Notamacropus eugenii: one gene and its partner. The protein of the gene in region 2 interacts with the protein of the main gene of each other region in a biochemical or structural test. Links are inferred from orthologs where the notes say so. Each region holds a gene or a part of one and is shown on either strand. Other genes may lie near its edges. The genes, in order: EPN1 and REPS2.

Region 1 (10,240 bases), about 350 Mb from region 2:
TAGCTGGTTCAGAGTGAGCGTGGCTGGAGGTGGAGGTTGGAAAGGATTGGTGAGGGACGGACCAGTGGTTGTGCCAGGTGCTCCTAAGGAGGTCAAGAGACACAGCAGGGTGGGGCAGTCAGGAGAGAGCAGGAGGGGATGGGACCATGGCCATGGCATCTCAAGGAGAGAGGGACGTGGGGAGTCAGGGAGGGACGGGGGTTGCTGTAAGGAGCGAGCACCAGGGAACACAGATAGCCCAGGGGGAGAAGAGCCAAGCATATAGAGAATCCCCATCCTGCAGGGCCCAGGGGAAGGGAGCAGTCTCTGGATGTGGCCCCCAACAAAGTGGCCTGTGTAAGCTTAGGATAGGAAGACCCTATGGTGGTGAGGGAGAAGAGACCACAGTGGACAAACCAGGAGGAAAAGGAGCCGGGCACACTCACTCACCAGTTGGCAGGAAGGGGTTGGAGGCCTTGGGTCCTGGGGGGGCAGGCCCTGGCCGAGTCACCAAAGAGTCAAGGTCCACGAGGGCAGCATTGGGTCCCAGGAAGGACTCTGGTGTCTTCCGTGTCGGGGGTGTGGGGGCTGGTGGCACTGTGGGTGGGGGGCTACCCACAGCCTCTGCCAGGGAGCCCCCAACCCCACTGAGGTCAAATGCCCCGGGGCTCCGTGCAGGGACCTCTCCTGCCAGAAGCTCCAGCTCCCCTGGGGGCGTAGAAGGGAAAGGAGCTCAAGGGCGCCCCAGCAGCATGGGGTGAGGGATGGGGGTGTGGTTCAGAAGCCTTGCTTCCCACCCCCCATGGCCAAAGATGACCATAGCCATGCGGGCGACACCTTGCTACACTGCACAACTATGCAGTGAGATGGACATCCTTCTCCATTTCAGAGATGAGGAAACTGAGGTTATGGGCCATAGTTAGGGAGAACAAGGACTGATACCACCCTTGGCAAGCAGCCTCCCCAGGTGGATCAGTGGGGCAGATTGGCTCACCGGTGCTGCTGCCTGAGGCAGGCAGTGCTGTCCGAAGGCGATCAAAGTCAGAGAATTCATCTGGCTCTGCATCGAAGCCTCCAGTCGCTGCATGGGACAGAGCAAGCTCTGGGGCCTCCAAGGCACGAGCCCCTCCCCCCCAACTCAGGCTGTTCCAGCCCCTCCTTCCCAGCTACCTGGGGTGCCATTAGTGCTGGGCTTGGCTGGGGAGCCTCCCCACGGGTCTGAGAAGGCTGGTGCTGGTGCCCATGGGTCAGCAGTGGTGGATGGGCCGCTGACTGGGGCCCCACTTGGGCCTGAGGACAAGATCAGGGGAGTGCGCAAGAAGGCAGCACGGGGGTTGGAGGGGATGAGTAGGAAAGGACCCCCCCCTCCATGCCCCGCAAAGAGAGATTCTGTAGTTGGGAAAGAACAGAACTAGAGACTGACAAAGTCAGTACTTACCATCAGCTCCCCCCCAGGGGTCTGGGGTCCCCCCCTCTCCAGCAGGGGGAGCAGGGGGGCCCCCCCAGGGATCAGCTGCAGGGCCTGGGGGTGGGGTAGGTCTCCAGGGGTCCCCAGAGGCAGGGGTGGGAGCCGGACCCCCCCAGGGGTCAGCTGAGGGTGGGACAGGGGGTCCTGGGGGCCCCCCCCAGGGGTCAGAAGGTGGGCCAGCTGCAAGGACAGGACCGCCCCAGGGATCAGAGGAGGGTGGGGGGGCTGGGGCTGTGAAGACATCAGCCAGATCCATGAGAGACGACTGGGGAGACAGAAGAGATCAAATGTGAGAGAACTGGGTGTGGGGGGAGTATAGAGAGACCCTGCAGAGCCCCTCCCACCCCAGGCCCCCTCACCTCCTCCTTGCCCCCAGTCTCTCTCTTGCTTTCCTCAATGGCCATCTGCAGTCTCAGGTCATCGCCCCGACGAATCCGCTCCTCCTGGGCGATGTGGGCACCCGGACGGAAGACAGAAGATTAGGACCGGCCCCCACATACTGGCCCCCCAACTTCCCAAGAACCCTTTCCCCATAAAGGTAACCAGCAAATAAACATGAGGGGATGGAATGAGGGGAGCTGAACGCCTGCAGCCCGGGGTGGGGGGTTTGGGCCTTGGGGATGGGGGGGAGGCGGGGACGTGGCTCTGACCTTGTCATGCTCCTCCCGGCTCAAACTAAGGGCCAGCTGGAGCTGGACGTCATCCTCAGGGCCACAGGGTGGGGGCTGGCAGGGTGGGGAGAGAGAATGTGAGGGGGGCGGGGCAGGACCAAGAAAGAGCTGCAGAGCCAGGAGAGCCAGAGAGAGCCTGAAAGAGGCTGGACTGGGGGCTAAGGAAGTGAAGGATGAGGAAGATGGAGAGGAGATGTGGCCAAACCCCAGTGCACCGCTGCCCCCCAGCAGGCCCCCGCCCCCGCTACCTGGTCAGCCTCTTCCTTGCTCATGGCCAGGGCCAGCTGCAGCTGTAGCTCCTCCTCCCCACTACTCTGGGGCCAGGCCTGCTCTGCCTCTGGGGGCGCCCCAGACCCCACAGCTGCTGAAGATGCTGCGGAAACAATGGTGGGAAGGGTGGGACAGGGCCTAGCTCCAGGGAGGTCCCCTCCCACTAAAGACAGACATCCCAGGTCTGGTCCTGCCCCCAAACGCAAGAGAGAACACATGATGGCACCCTTGTTAGCTATGTCCTCATCTCCATGCTTTCCTTCAGCACCTCTGCCCCCACTACCAGGCACTCCCTTTGGTCAGACTGCATGGACTGGCCTGGGCACAAGGTCTACGGAACCTGAGAACTTGGGGGAGGGGGGAACGACTGCTTTTTCTTTGCATCCACAATGCTGAGCACATGTGGTGTCCAACACGTAGTAGGTACTCCAAAAATGACTAAGACAGGAAAATACCAGAAACAAGAATCAAGAGAGGAGATGGAGCGGAGGATGGAAAAGGGACAGCAAAAAGTGAAGAGACGGAGATAAGAGAGAGAAGCAGGGAAAAGAAAAGACACAAGGAAGAAAGAGAGGAAAGAGAAGCAGAAACATGGAAACAGGACATTCAAGCCTTTTGGGAGAGGAGGGAGGAAGGCCCTGCCCAGGCTCCCCAGCTCCCCAGGCGCCCTCCGTCTCAGGCTCCCCAGCTCCCCAGGCGCCCTCCGTCTCAGGCTCCCCAGATCCTCTCCGTCTCAGGCTCCCCAGATCCCCAGGCTCCCCAGATCCCCAGGCGCCCTCCGTCTCAGGCTCCCCAGATCCCCAGGCGCCCTCTGTCTCAGGCTCCCCAGCTCCCCTCCGTCTCAGGCTCCCCAGCTCCCCTCCGTCTCAGGCTCCCCAGCTCCCCTCCCTCTCGGGCTCCCCAGCTCCCCTCCGTCTCGGGCTCCCCAGCTCCCCTCCGTCTCGGGCTCCCCAGCTCCCCTCCGTCTCGGGCTCCCCAGCTCCCCTCCGTCTCGGGCTCCCCAGCTCCCCTCCGTCTCAGGCTCTCAGGCTCCCCAGCTCCCCTCCGTCTCGGGCTCCCCAGCTCCCCTCCATCTCAGGCTCCCCAGCTCCCCTCCGTCTCGGGCTCCCCAGCTCCCCTCCATCTCAGGCTCCCCAGCTCCCCTCCCTCTCGGGCTCCCCAGGCGCCCTCCGTCTCAGGCTCCCCAGCTCCCCAGGCGCCCTCCGTCTCAGGCTCTCAGGCTCCCCAGCTCCCCTCCCTCTCGGGCTCCCCAGCTCCCCTCCGTCTCGGGCTCCCCAGCTCCCCTCCCTCTCGGGCTCCCCAGCTCCCCTCCCTCTCGGGCTCCCCAGCTCCCCTCCCTCTCGGGCTCCCCAGATCCCCAGGCGCCCTCCGTCTCAGGCTCCCCAGCTCCCCTCCATCTCAGGCTCCCCAGCTCCCCTCCGTCTCGGGCTCCCCAGCTCCCCTCCCTCTCGGGCTCCCCAGCTCCCCTCCCTCTCGGGCTCCCCAGGCGCCCTCCGTCTCAGGCTCCCCAGCTCCCCTCCATCTCAGGCTCCCCAGCTCCCCTCCCTCTCGGGCTCCCCAGCTCCCCTCCCTCTCGGGCTCCCCAGATCCCCAGGCGCCCTCCGTCTCAGGCTCCCCAGCTCCCCTCCGTCTCGGGCTCCCCAGCTCCCCTCCGTCTCGGGCTCCCCAGCTCCCCTCCGTCTCGGGCTCCCCAGCTCCCCTCCCTCTCGGGCTCCCCAGCTCCCCTCCGTCTCGGGCTCCCCAGCTCCCCTCCCTCTCGGGCTCCCCAGCTCCCCTCCGTCTCGGGCTCCCCAGCTCCCCTCCCTCTCGGGCTCCCCAGCTCCCCTCCCTCTCGGGCTCCCCAGCTCCCCTCCGTCTCGGGCTCCCCAGCTCCCCTCCCTCTCGGGCTCCCCAGATCCCCAGGCGCCCTCCGTCTCAGGCTCCCCAGCTCCCCTCCGTCTCGGGCTCCCCAGCTCCCCTCCGTCTCGGGCTCCCCAGCTCCCCTCCCTCTCGGGCTCCCCAGGCGCCCTCTATCTCAGTCCCAGGCAGGACCGCACCCCAGGCAACGTCTGCGGCTGATAAAGAGGAGGCTGCAGCGGGGCTGGGGAAGACGAGGAAGCCTCCCTCCCCTGCGGGCTCTCACCCGTGGCCGTCTGGGCCAGCTTCTCCTTGGTCTTGAGCGCGTGGGCTCGCTCCTCCCGCAGGCGGTCCTCGTCCCGCAGCAGGGCCACCAGCTGCTTGGCCTTCTCCCGCACGTTGACGCCCTGGTCCTTGCCGTCCCTGTCCACGTACTGGAAGTCCTTCAGGGTCTGCACCGCGTACATGTTCTCCTTGCACTGCTGGGACACGCGCTCCGAGCCGGTCTTGATGAGGTACTCCATGAGCGTCATGGCCTGAGGGCAGCAGGGGGTGGGCCCGGGGCAGCTCGCAGCGCCCCGCCCCCCGCCCCCCGCCCCCCGGCCCGGGGCGCCCCTGACCTTGTACACGTGCCGCCAGTTCTTGCCGTGGTCGTTGAGCCGCTTCCAGATCATGCTCATGATCTCCGAGAAGGCGACCACGTTGTAGGTGAGGTCAGCGATCTCGGACATGAGCGAGCTCGAGGGCCCCCAGGGGTCATTGCTGGTGGCCTCGCGCACCTTGATCTCCGCCTCCGAGTAGTTGTGGACGATGTTCTTCATCTGCCGGCGCAGCGACGAAGTCGACATGGCTGCGGGGCCGCCCCCGGGGCCGCGGGAGGGGGCCAGGGAAGGGGGAGCCGGTCACCGCATCTGGGGGCGCAGAGGCCGAGAGAGGCGCTGAGGCGGGAAATGGGTGTGCACCGGAGGGGGGGGGCCACCCACCAGCACGCTCGCGGCCCCCCGCTGTGCGCAGACCAACGCCAAAAGCCCCTGGCCCCTCCCCACCGCCAGGTCCTTGCACCTCCCAGGGCCCGGCCCCAGGGCCTCCGTCCAGCCCAGAGAAGCTCAGGAGAGACAAGGCAAGGCCAGGAGCCGGGAGGGAAGAAGACGCGGCGACAGCTCGCCCAGGGCCTGGGCAAGGGGGGGAAACTGAGGGAGAGCGCGGCAGGGAGGGGGCAGAGCGCAGGGGCAGACGGGCCGAGCAGGGCCGGGGTCCCAGAGGGCACGGGAGGGGTGGGGGTCGACGCATCCACATGGGACCCGGAAACCTCAGACAGAGCCGGGGAGAAGACCCCGAGACGGGGGACGCAGGGACGCGGCGGAAACAGAGAGGGGGAACCCCGCCCCGCCCCCCTCACCCGCTCACCCCGGGAATCCTCGGGCTCCGGCTCCCGGGAGGGGGCGGGGGGCAGCCGCCGAGCGCAGGGGAAGCGGCCGGGAAGAGGACGGCCGGAAGCGGAAGTCGCGCCCCGTCCGCTTCCGGCTTCCCTCAGCTGGCCGCCCGCCACGTCACTTCCTGTTCAGGCCCCAACCACCGAGAGGAGAGCGGCTAGAGCGCCGCGCGCTGGGGGCAGGGCAAACCGAGGGCTGGAACGGAGCATGCAAGCCGCCCCTCCTGGAGACGGAGTGTGCGGTCCGGTTCGGGATCCGGCAGGGCCCTCCGGAATTGGCCCGAAGCTTTTACAGATGGGAACACTGAGGCGGGCGGCGAGGCACCGCCTTCCGAACCCCGGAGCCCCGCCCCCATCGGCCCCTTCACTCCGGGGAGAACGCCAAGTGCGTCAGTGACGTCACCACGACAGGTGTAACTGACGGGGGCAGGGGGAGGGGCGGTCGCACCCACACCCCCGAGTCAACACTGGACGCTCCGTAAAGTAAAATACAACAAAATGTTTAATGAGCAAATTCGTCTTTAGCAAATATGAAACTGCCAGGAGAAGGGGGGCGGGGCGGACAGGAAGGGGACGGGCGGAGAGAAACAACATCTCTACTACATAAGAAACCATCACGGGAGGGGGCGGGGTCCCAGGAAGGGGCGGGGCGGGAAGAGGAGCTTTATGGTCCTGGGCGGGCAGAGGTCGAAGGTCAGGAGAACAAAATTGAAAAAGTTTTGGCCGTAAAATATAAACACGCTATGTTGCTACCGCGAGGGGAGGAGGGGGGCCCACCCCACCCCCCCAATGCCCTCCCCCATCCCCCATCCCCGTGTGTTCGTGTGTGTATTGTGTGTGTGTGTGTGTGTGTGTGTGTCCACACCCCAGCCCCTCCCCTGCCCAGGGCTTCAGCCCCCGGCCTTCGGCCTCCGAGGCGCCTCTTCCTCCTCTCCTGGCCAGGGTCGAGTGAGGGGGAAGGGATGGGGGGGTCTCCCAGCCAGCTCCGGCCCCCTGACCCGGCCCCCCTCCCCGGCTGCTTCTACCAGAAGTCCCGGCGGTGGTAGGAGTCGGGGTCGCAGTACTTTGTGACAACCACTCTGTTGGCGAACTTGCGGCCAGTCAGGCCCTGCATGGCCTTCTGACAGTCGAACACGGACGTGAACTCCACGAAGATCTGCGGAGAGAGCGCGGGGGCTGGGGCCCGGCCCGGGGTGGGGGGGGGGGGCTGGGGTCCGGCCGGGGGGGGGGGGGGGGAGGGCCCGGCCCGGGGTGGGGGGGGGCCGGGGCCCGGCCCGCGGTCTGCTCCCACCCACCCGGGCCACGTGCAGGGCTCCTCCTGACCTTGCCGCAGCCGGGGACCTCCACACCGTCCACAGGCCGGGGGATCTCGATGGACTTGACCACCCCGTACTTGCTGCACTCATCCCGGACATCCTCCACGATCTCCTCATACTCCTCGTCGTCCAGCAGCTCCTCGGGGAGCACCATGTTCATGAGGCACAGCACCTCCGTGGGGTGGCCACCCATCTGCACCTGTGAGCTCATCAGGCCAGGGACCTGGAGCGTCACCGGCGTCTGGTTTATCGTGCTCTGTGGGGGGCCACGGGGAGGGAGGGGTCAGGCCACAGGCCTGGGAGCCTCGGACCCCTGCCCGCCATCGCTGCTCTAGCTGACCCCCCTCCTCCTCCCCACTGCTAGACTCCACACCCCAGTGGGACACCCACACCCCCCCCACCTCCCCCAGGCTGCTGCCCACCCTCTGCCTGGCCTGCCTGTCCACTCGGCTCCTCCCAGCCCAATCCCACCCCCCCTTCCACCCCCCAGGGCCCCCTAGCCAATGGAAGATGACGTGCCGAAGGGCTCACCAGCGTTGCGTTCTTGGCTCCCACACTAGCCCTCTGTACCAGTAGCTTCTTATCCCCCAGTTGCATCCCGTTCAGCCCCGCGATGGCCTGCAGGGGGTGGGGTGGGGGTGGGGCGGGCGTGGGGGGAGTGTGGGTCAGGGGCCAAATTCCCCAACCTCCCCCTACCCCTGACTGGAGTGGGGGCAGGGGCAGAAGGGCTGTTCCCCACCCATCCCAGGGGGCTGACCGACCCTCCCTGACCCCCTTAGCCCAAGCACACAGGGACCACTGGCAGAGGTCCTCCAGGGACACTCACCTGGTCAGTGACGTTGATGTCCACGTACTCACAGAAGGCATAGCCCTTGGAGAGGCCCGTGGCACTGTCTTTGACCAGGTTAAAGGCTTTGAGCGGCCCAAATGAAGTCAGCAGTTCCTTTACCTGTGGTGGAGAAGTGGGGGGTGGCGGGCGGGCGGGGTGGAGGCGGGGACGAAATGGAGCGAGTCAGGGGAGGGAAAGCAAGAGGACAAGCAGGTGACAGGGGAAGTTGGCAGGTGGTTACCTGATCATCATTCAGGTAGTTGGGGAGTCCCCCAATGAACAGCTTGTGAGCAGAATCTGGGACCACAGTGGACACGACACCTGCAGGAATGGAGAGGGGCAGCCCTTCAGTGGGAGGTCACTTCGGCCTCCAAGGGCCTGGGGAGATCTGGTTACATGGGGTCCACACCGCTGCAACCCACCTTCTGCTCCAAACACCCAGGAGCAGCAGCAGAAACCAAGAATGTGACTAACCTCTGGGACACCAACAAACACCCCTCCCCAGGATGGACATTAAACATCTGGTTAAACACCAACTCTTGTTACAGAGGGGGACCAGGCCCAGCAGGGTGCCCTGACCAGCTGGAAGGGCCTGTGGAGATCTCAGCTAATCCCACCATGGCTGTGACCATGGGCTAAGATGACTGCCTCAGAGCAGCAACCCCGGCAAGAAGGGCAAGGTGAGGCACAAGTGTGAGACCAGCCCACCAACGGCACTCACGGCAATCAATGCCTCCTCCAGCCACCCGGCCTAAGAAGTGAAGAGCAGAGCCGGCTAACACTGAAAAAGCCAACTTGAGATTCTGGGGTTTTCTAGATTCTAAAAAATGGGGAGTCACTGGCTTTAGGGCCAGAAGGTCCTTGCTGGGCATATTTCTAGTGAGGGGTATTGAAAGATTGTCGATTCTAACCTCCTTAGGGCACAAAGGAAAAAACTAAAAGCTTGCTTAAGGTCATGCCTGAGAGCAGCAGAGCAGAGACAGTGACCCTGGATCCCCAAGTTCAAGGCTCTGGCAGAAAAACCATACCAGTGGTCACAACAACTGTGCAAACTGAGGCCCAGGGACACACAAGAAGGGCTGGGCTTAGATCGCAGCATTTGGTATGCAGAGCTTCCTCAAAACACCTCAATCTCATGCTCAACAAAGACCTTACTTGACTGGCTACCAGTAAGATCTCATTCTTAAGCTAAGACCCATGAGTTAGGAGAAAGAGCAAGAATAAAATGCCCAGGGAGTGTTTGCCTAGGCTCTGACCTGCCCGCAAGGAATCTCCTACAATATTCCAGAAGGGTTGCCCAGGCTGAATGATGTGCCCCCTGCTCTCCCCTGTGGAGCCCTGAAAACATGTGAGTGCAGAAGGAAGCGCGATCTGCCGCCTCCTCCTTCCCCCAAATGTTCTTTATCATCACCAAGCTCCTTCAACCTTCTTCCTTGGGTGTCCTGCCTCTGGACTGGCCCACCTCAATAGCCTCTGGGTACTTATTGGCCAGCTTAGTTCTAAAATACAGTCCCCAGAACTGAACCAGGCTCCTGCCAGATGTAAAGTGACTAAAATAGGACTCTTGTCCTGGGCTCTGGACACGAGGCCTTGGACCACCTATTACAATGGCTGGGGCAGCATCTCACCCACTCTTACTGAGCTTGTGGTCTACCCAGACTTCCAAGGCCCTCCAAAGGAGTCCCAACTAGGGATTACCACGGCAGGAAGGGTTAAAACGATTTAGGGCTCCCTCACCGGGCACGTAGACAGAGGGGTTTTCAGACATGCCAGGCAGTGGCTGGTAGTCATGGGGCCTTCGGATCTTAAGTGATTGGCCCTGGAAGATGATGCCATCAAAGGCCATGGCCTGAGTCGTCTCATCCACTGATCGGAACTAAAAGAAGAAAACAGAAATGTGGCGCTGTAGATTATCAAAAGCTCATTACAATGCCCTCCCTCATCTCACCGTTCATTGGGAAAATGGAGGAAGAGAGCCGTACGAGGCCACAAGTTAGCAGCACAACTGGTGACAAGGGCAAAGGAGTTCAGAGACTACCCAAGGTAAGAGGTTGGGGGAGAACAGACTTGGCCGAGGTTCACTCACAGGGAGTTGGGGAATAAACTGGATTTCAGAGCACCCTCTTCAAAACACCTTATGGCCTCTAGGTTCCCCATTCCAGCTTACCTCTAGGAAGGCAAAGTTCTTATCCTGGTTTATCTGCACGGCCAAGACTGGGTTGCCAGGGGCCTGAGTAAGCCCCCCTAAGCGCATCTGGGCGTTGAAGAAATCCATCATGGCTTCCTGCAGGGGGAGAGGAAAGAGGGGGGGGCAGGGGAGGTGGAGAGAGGAGGGGTGGGGTGAGAGAGGGAGACACGGAGTGGGGGTAGGGCAAGGGGGAAGGGGGTGGGAGGGGAGAATGGGGAGATTTGGGATTTGAAGGGGAAGATAGGAAACCG
Region 2 (10,746 bases):
GAACAAGGAGAAAAGGAGTCCCTGACAGAAAGGGAGAGACAGAGCCTCTTGTGCTAAAGATTAGTCAGGGGTTGAATGAGGTGAGCCAGGTTATCTATATATTCCAGCTACTTCTTAGTCTGGAAACAGCTTTCCTTTCTTTTCTTTTCTTTTCCTAGTCTTTCTACTGATACTGCCTGCTGCTTCCATTTGGAGCTTCTTTCCTTCTGTCCCATTTCTAAAAAACAAAAACAAAAAAACCCCTGAAACTCACCTGTCTTCCCGTATTCTTTAGGCCATAACCAACGTCAAGAAATTCTAACCAGTATTTTTGTTACCTTAATATGTTAAGACTAACACTCTTAACAAATATTTCCCAGGCTTTCATATTTTATCTTTCTGGTTTAGAATTATTTCATTTTACATTTTTTCTAGTACAGGTTTGTCTGCAAAAATAAAAAAAAAAGAAAAGAGAAGAAAGAAAAGAAAAAACTTTTCCCAGTATTACTTTATTTTAAAAGATATTAAGCAGAGTCTCTTTGAAATGGGAGTTCCCCCAAGGCAACTAAATTATCATTTAATTTAGACATAACTTTTTAGACATGTGCATGTCATATGAAGTAACAGGCATATGTTTCATTTTTACTTTGAGATACAAAATTCAATCGGAAAACCAATTTTGAAGAGGGAAGAAAGTTTCTGGTACTAAGAATACTTTCTGCAGGTAAAGCTCCAGAACACTTTGTAAATTTTAATTGTATGCTGATGGAAGGGGGGAAGAGAAAAGTGGTTGTTGCCATAGAAACAGCCTGAGAAGTTTAAGGCCTTCCAGCTTTAAGTAGTCATACCTGTTCGTCCACTTAATTCTAAACTTATTGGTTTCTGTTAGATAGGGGGAAAAGGTTAAGAATGAAGAATGTCTAAATTCACTTAATAGAGTGACTAGGATCTTAATAGCCACACCTAGGGTAAAGCAAATCATGAGCAACAATCCTTAACACAAACCAAGCAACGGTCAAGGGAAATGGAAGTAACTTACAACTGTTGTTGTTTTTAAATGACTGCTCTTGATGTTCATTTTAATCTAACTTTGTCTTTATTTAAAAAAAAAAAACAAGTTGGAGGAGAGGGACACATACATGTGTTGTACACCACATCTATTTAGAAATGGCCCCATAAACTAACATCTGAGAGAGGTCAAGAAATCTCCTCTAAATGGATTTCTTTCAGTCATCAAGATGTTGGACATTACCCACTCATACAGGAAATGCTCTAGGTTCTTTTTAACCACACACACCTCGAAACAGAACTTTGATACTCACATCCTTAAAGTCCCCCTGTCTCAGGAAGGCAAAAGTTGACAAACAACATGGTAAAATTTAATGTTTCCTTCCCCCCCCCCCCCCCCCCCCGCTCCCACCTTCACCCATCACACTATGAATTTCTTGACACCACAACATGATGCTGTTCCCAACTTTGTCACTGACTTACTGTGTGACCTACTTTGTTTGGTCCTGTCATTTCTTCCCCCATAACTGAGAAGGTGGTAGAGTATTCTATCTCTCAGTTTTCCTGTGGGTGTTATCAAGCTGATTTAATAAGGGTTTGGTAGGCATTCTTACAACCTTATTTAATTTTAATAATAAAGATCTGTGTTTAGAGAGCAGCTTCCTCCTCCCATCCCTCCACCCCCACTCCACTATGGGCTCAAAGTGACTTTCTAAAGATATTCTCTGAATCCATATAACTGGGGTGAGTTCTCATTTTACTTCAGGTGACATGGTTTGCTTACCTATAAAATGATGTGCCTAAGACCTGTGGGAAAAGAAGATTTAAAAGTACGTATTTTTTAGCCTAGTCAGTCCAGCAACAAGAATGAGTGTGCTAATTTGGGGTTGGTGGTGGTGGTGGTAGTAGTAGTAGTAGTAATAGCTACATTTACAGAGTGCCTACTTACTGTGCACGTGGCACTGTGATAAGAGCTTTACAATGACTGTCTATTTTGTTCCTCACAAAAACCCTGGGAGTTAAGTGCTATTATTATCCCCATTTTACAGATGAGGAATCTAAGGCAAACAGAGGTTAAGTGATTTGCCTGGGATCACACAACTAATACATTTCTAAGGCAACACCTGAACTCAGATCTTCCTAGACTCCAGAATATTATTCACTATACATCAGTGCCTCTCAATCAGTCTTATCAACATCATCATAGCTACTATTTATATAGCACTTCCGATGTGCTGGCAATGTGCTAAGTACTTTACAAATATTATTTCATTTAATCTTCACAAACACCTGGAGAGGTAGGTGCTATTATTATCATCCCCATTTTACTGAAAAGGGAACTGAGAAAAATGGAGAATAAGTGACTTGCCCAGAGTCACACAGCTAGTAACTCTCAGAGGTTGTATTTGAACTCAGAACAAAGGTCCAAGTTACTGCTAATATCATTGATATAATAATTTTTGAAAGAAAAAGCAATCCTGAATTCTGCAGATGGGAGCGAAAAGGACCAACCACACTGGCTAAAGGAAGACTGGATAAACATGGGTGCATAAAGGACTTAACTGTGTGATACATACCTACAAACTTTTAAAAGAGAAAGATTATTTATCTGCCTTGTCACAGTGTTACCAATTCCATTGTCTAGCCACAACACTACTCAGGTGAGTATTCTGAGTACGCTAAAGTCAAATTAATGTAAGAAGTTTTTATATTCCATATGTCAGAGGCCCTTCTCCAGCTCACAGCTGGATGCTCAAAATGATACCACACCACCAAACGTGGGCTGCAGCAGAACACCCACGGGGCTCAAAGAGCACTTGCACCTGAACAAGAAAATCAGAGAAAAAAAGATGGTGCCCGATGGGCTTTCTTCCACCATTTAAATAAAGCCCTCGGGCTCTCTCAATCAGCCTCCCACCTGGTCTCAGCAGAAGAGGAGGCGGAGCATATGTTCCTAAAGACTTCAATCCATGGAAGGTCTGGAGCGTCCAAGTGGGAACAAGCGTTCAGAAACGTAAACCTCAACCATCAGTCAACAGCCTGGCCTTCCCCTGTCTCCCTCCAACTAACTTAATCTGACCCAGAAAGTCTCAAGCTCTTCTGGAAGAGCCAGCGTAGTCTGAGGAGTAACAATGCTCCAGAGCCCAGATAGAGGAAGCCTGCTGTACAAACACAGACAGACACACAGCCCTTCTTTCCTCTCCCAGTTCCTATTCGCCCCTTCCCACGCACTCTGGATTCGTCCTCCAAGTTCTTCGCGAGAGAAGAGGAACCGGAGAGGGAGGGACAGAGGCGAACAAACAAAAGCCACCGCCGCCCCCGCACCCAACAAACTTTCGGTCCCTAAGGTAAAGACCAAGACATTCCCAAAAATGTCTGAGGGAAGTGGAGAGGGAGGAATACTGAAAACCTCGGGGGTGGGCGGCTGAACTTTTCGGAGAATCTGAGTGGGCAAGGGAGGCGAAAACCCCAACCCCTCCGCCCTGGGGAGGAGGAGGGTCCGAGCCCGGGCACCCTCCCGCTGTCCACGCCTCGTCAGTGCCCTGCGAATCTCCTCCTCGGCCCCCTTCCCTCCCAGCCCCCCAATCTGCCCAGCCCCGGTCTCCTCCGGCCGGCCGGCCCCCGGAACAAGGCACCGGGGGCGCTCCCTCACCCACCTGGTGAAGGGTCTCAGCGGGCAGCTGCGATGCCCTGAACAGATCTCCCACTTGGCTGGCCCCTGCGGCGGCTGCAGGTCCGGGGAGCGGGGCTCCCCTGCCCACCTCCGGAGGTGGCTGAGCGTGTCCAGAAGAGGAAGAGGAGGAGGTGGCCGAGGCACAGCAACAGCGCGCGAAGAGCTCGGAGTAGCGCTGCTGCTCGCTGTCACTCAGGGGCAGGGGCACCGGGCAGTAGCCCGCGCCGGCCCCCGACGACAAGGCGCCCGCAGCCGCAGCCGCAGCAGGGGCGCTGGCGTTGGCCGCTGCCCCGACGGCCCCCGCCGTCCCCGCCGCCGCCGCTGGTCCCTGCTCCATGGGCCGCCCGCGAGCAGCGAAAGGGAACTCGGCCAAGGCAAGGAAGCGCGCGGGGAGGCGGGGACCCCGGGGACAGCTGCGGCAGCTGGACTTTGCAGGCGGAAGGGCTGGCTGGTGCGGCCGCGGCCACCGCACCTCCCACCCCGGCCTCTCTCCCCCCAAGCCCTCTGCAGCGTTTACCCTGACTCCGCCAGCAGCCGGCCGCCGGGCCCGCGTCCCCTAGGTCTCCTTCTCCTTCTCCTCCTTCAAGCTGCCTCCCAACCCCTCCCCCTCCCCCTTTCCCTTCCTTTAATGTTGTGCCGCGGCAGCTCCTACCACATGGAAACAGAGAGAGGCGCCATTTTAGCCAATCAGAGGCCAGGGATCCCCGGGCCCGCGACCACTAACAGCCCCACACTCCCACACTCCCGCACACACTCAGAGCCTTCTCCCCGCCTCCAGCCTCCGCGCCGGGCTCTGTGCGCGCAGCCGCTGCCCTGCTCTGCCGCTGTGATGCCCCAGGTGACCAGCACCCCTGCCCCTCGCCCGGAGTTCCACCTGCGGGCCCTGCACACACCTATTGGGGACGGGAGGGGCAAGAAAGGGGGTATGGAGAAGATGGTACACCCCCAGCCTGGCAGAGAGCTCTACCCTGCCTCTTTCCAGAGCGAGGAGAAGGTGCAGTTACCTACCGAGCTGTGGTCTGTCCGCCGCAGGCTTAGGGAGAGGTACCTCCCGCCCCACCCCGGAGTCTGAGCAGGTGTCCTTCATGCCCGACACAGATGTTTGCGGCCACGGATGGGATCATGTGTTATCATGAATAAGCGTCACCCTGGTGTTTTTGTGGTGCCATTTCAGTACTCGGACGGGGACAGTCTTCTTAGAAATGTGTCCTAGCGTGGAGAATGCAGACACGGTTAGAGCCCCGCTGTCAGAGGGAGAATAAAAGAAAGAGAGAGAGAGTGTGTGTGTGTGTGTGTGTGTGTGTGTGTGTGTGTGTGTGTGTGTGTGTGTGTGTGTGTGTGTGTGTGTGTGTGTGTGTGTGTGGGCTGGGCACCGACAGGAATAATGTATCATAAAGCTAGCTGGGATGCTAGAGATTATCTAGCCAAAATCTGATTTTAGGAATACTGAAGTCCAAAGAGGTGAAATGATTGTCCAGCCTAAACAGACAGATGTGACAAAATTAGGACTAAATCCCTAATCTTGTGTCCTTTCCATTATACTGTACATTCTTCCTCCCTTACCTAGCAGAGTAAGACTTTCCAGGAGGAAGTATACAACCCTCACAACAACGCTGTGTAAGTTTTATTATATTTTTTACGACTTGGAAGGAATCATTTTTGTTTAAAAATAAAAACTGGTATACCAAAAAAAACAGAGCTTATCAAAGACTGACAAGAGGACAGAGGAAGTCATGAAGGCCTTAGTTTAAATCTTGGGTTCCACACTTATTAGCTATTTGACCTTGGGCAAGTCAACTTGACCTCAGTTTCCCCATCACATACCCAGGCACTCCTAGTGGACAACTAACACTTATGAAGGAGCTAGACTCCATGATCTCCGAGATCCCTCCCAACTCTCAATCTATGATCCTATGAGTAGGGCAACAGTAGGGCTCTTTTCCCTAACACTCCAAATGGAGTGTTATTCTCAATGATTTGGTTATTTATTCCAGTAGTGGAGATTACAATCCATTGATGCCTGCTCATCTCTATCCTACATAGCATTCCTTCATTTTCTCCTGTAGTTCAACACAGATGGTCTGCCTAGAGACCTTCCCCTATTTCTCCTGACATTAAAATAATGTGAATGACTCCCCACAGAAATTACCTCTATTCATCAACCATCCTGGGCTAGAACATCTTCAAATATATAAATGGAGTAAGTAATGACTTAAGAGGGCTAGGCAAGAGGGTCTGCTAATCTCCACTCTGGTAGCAGCAACATCTTAACCCCTTCCTAATGCAAATTAAGCTAGTTTCTCTTTGTAAGGTTATCAAGACATTCTTCCAGACTTGGTTGGCTCAAGGGACTAAGTGACCCCCTGTCTGTGTCTTTAAATTTTAAAATATTCCTCAAAGGAAGTAAGTCATTAAACTAAATTACACACAGTGGGGAGGTAGGAAAAAGTCTCTGACCCAAAGGAAAAAGTTAAAGAACAACACACACAATGAACCATTTGTCCCATTTAGGCTTTTTAAGAAAGAAAAATTGTCAGCCTATTCTCTTTAGAAATTTTAGAATGGGAGATATGAATATATGGCAAATACTTCAGGGATCTATTATTTCATTTCTGTAAGCCTTTCTTCTACCAACCCAGATCTCAACTCTTCTACCACTTGGTAGATGGTAAATCAATAGATGGCATGATTGAAAAAAAAGTCATCATTCTGTTTCCAACCTGATGATAAGACTTTCAGAATATAGTTTCTGTAAGCTAGTTCCTGTAGAACTGATACATGCACACATATGTATGGCCCATACTCTTGTCTCTCCAACAAGCCAGGGCTTAATCTCCTCTGGCATAGACTTTGAAAATCTTGGGTGACCTCCTGGCCAAGCTGACATTATTAGATATTAGAACTTTATTAGAGGATTTATTAAACAAACAAAACAGCCAGACATTAGAATACTTGTCTCCTTATTTTGGCTGCTTAAGAGACAAGAGGAGAGAAACTGGTGGCAGGTTTTCTATGTAAAATTTTTCTACACAGCGTATGTAGGGAGTTAAATAGGGAAGTTTTCCGATCAACATGTTATTATGCATATAAGTTGGTTAACCTTTGATACCATCTCCCAAGGAAGAGAGGTGACAAGACCATGTGACCCATTCTTAACTCACTGTAAATTATAGGGGACAAACTGAGTCTGGTGGGAAGAGCCACCATCCTCCTCCCTTTGCCCATTCTCTGCTGACTATATAACAGAATCTTTATCCCACGCTCTATCTCTTACCTTTTTTCCCTGTTAGCATATTTCCTGAATCCTCAGGCACTGACCAACCACCCCCACCCCAGGCCCCAGAAATAATAGCAGACAGATTTGTGTTCCTGGACCCCATTCCTTGGACCTAGCCCTGGAAGCCCGTGGTAGAGGCAGACATGTTCTCAACATTATGGTAACCATAATCAAAGTGGTGAGTTCCTAAGTCCAAAATTTCTAGAGACATATTGAGCATTGCTGAATCCTAGTTTATTGGGTAAAGGAAGAAAGAATTTCCTGGATAGCAAGTTCCCAGAATCTAGTCTTTTGGTTGAGAAAAATGGAGAGTTCCTGGGTAGCATTAACTGCCTTAGGATTGCCTCACTAGCAACCCCAAATTCAAGTCTTGGAATCCAGCCTTTCACGGGGGCTTTACAATTTTAAAAGTATTTTCACTTGAAAGTATAACATATAATAGAAATGACATATATATATATATCACTTTAGAGTTTATAAAGTTTATGAAGCGCTCTCCTCAAAACAGACCCATATAAATTCTCTTCTAAATTACAAAATAAAAAATAAGGAGCCATTACAAGTTCAAATAAAAAACTAGTTAAAAAAAGAATAAACGCTTATGAAAGATTGGCCGATGGCAAGTATTAAAACTTGAATTCCTGAGCACTGAATGGCAGTCAATTAGAGAGAGAAAACAATGGTGCATGTGGCCCTCGAAGCTTAAGGAAAAGCAGGGAAGTCTAATCCATAATATGGGCAAGTCAAAGACCTGCATTTTATCTTGTGTTCTGTTTTGTGATTTGTACATAAAGTTCATATCCAATGGGAAGCCGCTGGTTGTCATCTAATATCCTCAAGTACATTTCCAATCCTGGGAAAATTAAAGCCATCACATTGGGTGTTTATCTGTCAGATTTATGGATAAGAGAAGAACTTAGGACCAAAGAAGATACAGAGAGCATTACAAAATGTAAATTTTGTAATTCTGGTTACAAGAACACTTTGAGTATAAAATTAAAACATTTTTGCACAAACAAAACCAATGTAACCAAAATTATAAAGAAAGCAGAAAACTAGGGGAAAAATTTGCAACGCAATCTCTATTAAATACCTCATTTTTCAAACATATAAAGAACAAGTCAAATTTATAAAAATACAAGTCATTCCCCAACTGATAAATGGTCAAAGATATGAACAGGCAGTTTTCAAAGAAATCAAAGCTATCTGTATTAATCTGAAAAACGCTTTAAATCACTATTGATCAGAGAAATGCAATTTAAAACAACTCTGAGGTATCACCTCACACCTATCAGAGTGGCTAATGTGGCAAAAAAGGAAAATATTGGATGTTGGAGGGGATGTGGGAAAACTGGGACACTAATGCATTGCTGATAGAATTCTGAACTGATCCAACCATTCTGGAGAACAATTTGCAACTGTGCTCAAAGGGCTATAAAACTGTGCCATGTCCTTTGATCTAGCAATACCACTGCTAGGTCTATGTCCCAAAGACATCCCAAAAAAGGGAAAAGAACCTATTGTACAAAAAATATTTACATCAGCTCTTTTTGTAGCGGCTAAGAATTGAAATCAAAGGAATGCCCATCAGTTGGGGAATGGCTGAACAAGCTGTGACATATGATTATAATGGAATACTATTGTGTATAAGGAATAACAAGCAGAATAATTTATGAAAAACCTGGAAAGACTTACATGAACTGATGCGTAGTGAAGTGAAAAAGAACCAGGAGAATGTTGTGCACAGTAACAGCAATGTTGTTCACTGAAGAACTACAAATGATTTAGCTATTCTCAGCAATACAATGATCAAAGACAATTCCAAAGAACTAATGATGATGCATATGCTCTGCCTCCTGAGAAGGAACTGATATTGACTGAACACAAACTGAACCATACTATTTTCCCCTTTTTTTCATTTTTTTTCTTTTAGTTGAGTCTTCTTGCACTAATGTGGAAAATAATTGCTCCTGGATACCTATATCTTACTGCTTGCCATCTAAGGGAGGGGAGAGAAGAGGAAGGGATAGAATTTGGAACTCAAAACTTTAAATAAAAATGTTTTAAAATTTTTTTTTAAAAAAGTTATTTAAAAAAAGAAATGTTTGGAGGTAGTTAGTGGATAGTGGATTGGGCTTGGAATCAGGAAAATCTGAACTCAAATCCTGCCTCAGACATTTCCTAGCTGTGTAACCCTGGACAAGTGGCTTAACCCCATTTGCCTTAATCCACTAGAGAAGGAAATGACAAAGCACTCCAGTACCTTTGCCAACCCCCATGGACAGTAATGGCATGCAATGTTCCATAGGATCATGAAGAATTGGATATAACTCAACAACAATAAATGATTATTGATCAACTGACTGACTAATCTTGATTACTTATAGAGGAGGTAGAGATCATGTTAACCACATCTATGGAGTGTTAGATATTAGTTATATTTAAGTTATAGTCTGAAATTGCCTAGATTTAACTGGTTGGGGGCACTGAACACTAGTCACTGGTTGTGAGTACTATCCCTGAAATTCAATCCAGTCCAAATAAGTCCAGAGCCTGAGGGTTCTGTGCCATGGATTATAATAAAAAACATCATTGATTAGGGAAATGTTGATTTAGTCCCTACTATGTTTAAAAGCTTGCAAGGATTCTACAGAAGATATGATGATAAATGAGAGATCACTTGACACCTACATTGATCTCCCCCTTCTCTAATTCCATGTGTATTATGTAGTCTCTTCTCTGAACTCTCATAGTATTGTCTTACACTTCTTCCCCTTTCACAGGTTACCTTTACTAAAATTGTTTATGTGTTTCTTATGTCCCTTACTAGACTGTAGACTCAAGTATAAAAGTTATACTTTATCATTCTTTGGAATCCTATCACTTTCTAATTTATCCCATATTCATTTGTGTAGCTGGGATATTTTTAGATGATAAAGTCTTTGAGGACATGAACTATGTTACTCTTCATCTGTGTATCCCCAGCACATATTATACATTTAATGAATGTCTATCAAATTGAATTGAGTTGAATCCTTGGAAGGAGTTATGTCAGTGTTGTCATGAATAGATTTTTCAAGTAGAAAACACTTAAAATTTCACTAGATTCCAGGTTTGCTTTTAGATTTTGTTTTTACATTTCCTGTGAAGTCCTTCTGCCTCCTGCCAACAGAATCATACAACTGTATAAGGGAGGGTGGCAGGGGAAGCATAGGGAAAAAATTTTTTTCCAAAAAACAGAATCGAGTTTTCTACTTTTCTCTGAGCCTTACAGCATATGAAAAAAAGATACCTTTTTTTGTCCTGATCTTTCTTCAACCCTTTATACATGCAGTTGAGAAAGGACATGAAGTTAATTCTCAGTTATCTGCAAAATCAAGGAATCATTTTATGATGTATCATTTCTAGTGACCAATTGCTTCCTTTTGTCTCTTACCCTTGTTCACTTTCTTTTTTTTTCCCTTTTCAGACAGAAAAATTCTCTAATCTTCCTTTCCTTCTCAAGCCTTTAGAGTGACACCACAGACTTATCAAAATATTTTTAATACAAATTCCTGGATCCCAGCTTAAAAACCTCAGGTGCTAGATTACCACTTCTGGTATGTTGTTAAAAAAAAAAGATTCACATTTAGGTAGAGAATAGACTAGATTTCTTCCACCTCTGAGATGCTGTGAGTTGAATGGAATTCAATCTAAATTGAATTGAATTCTCAGATCAACTACCTGCTTACACATTCTGCCTCCTACTGACAGCAGTGGCAAGTACAGCATTTTCTGTGATGGAGACGGATTAGATCTGCCCTCTTTT

What was found.
Region 1: the proteins of REPS2 (region 2) and EPN1 form a complex in vitro, tested with the Homo sapiens proteins (3 studies listed by BioGRID and IntAct, with this or other methods). The link is inferred for Notamacropus eugenii from reciprocal best matches to the Homo sapiens genes REPS2 and EPN1.

What each region holds. Positions count from the first base shown.
Region 1 is NC_092876.1:18,167,582-18,177,821, reverse strand, and holds the start of EPN1 (epsin-1), read right to left. Parts: upstream 5,073-10,240; coding exon 4,845-5,072; intron 4,761-4,844; coding exon 4,511-4,760; intron 2,492-4,510; coding exon 2,367-2,491; intron 2,173-2,366; coding exon 2,098-2,172; intron 1,891-2,097; coding exon 1,807-1,890; intron 1,713-1,806; coding exon 1,418-1,712; intron 1,270-1,417; coding exon 1,150-1,269; intron 1,061-1,149; coding exon 974-1,060; intron 688-973; coding exon 430-687; intron 84-429; coding exon 1-83. Other genes in the region: U2AF2 (splicing factor U2AF 65 kDa subunit), read right to left, coding at 6,678-6,812, 6,980-7,228, 7,492-7,590, 7,799-7,921, 8,043-8,122, 9,539-9,677, 9,969-10,085. UniProt on the Homo sapiens protein: Binds to membranes enriched in phosphatidylinositol 4,5-bisphosphate (PtdIns(4,5)P2). Modifies membrane curvature and facilitates the formation of clathrin-coated invaginations. Regulates receptor-mediated endocytosis.
Region 2 is NC_092876.1:372,762,340-372,773,085, forward strand, and holds the start of REPS2 (ralBP1-associated Eps domain-containing protein 2), read right to left. Parts: upstream 4,164-10,746; 5' UTR 3,999-4,163; coding exon 3,645-3,998; intron 1-3,644. UniProt on the Homo sapiens protein: Involved in ligand-dependent receptor mediated endocytosis of the EGF and insulin receptors as part of the Ral signaling pathway. By controlling growth factor receptors endocytosis may regulate cell survival.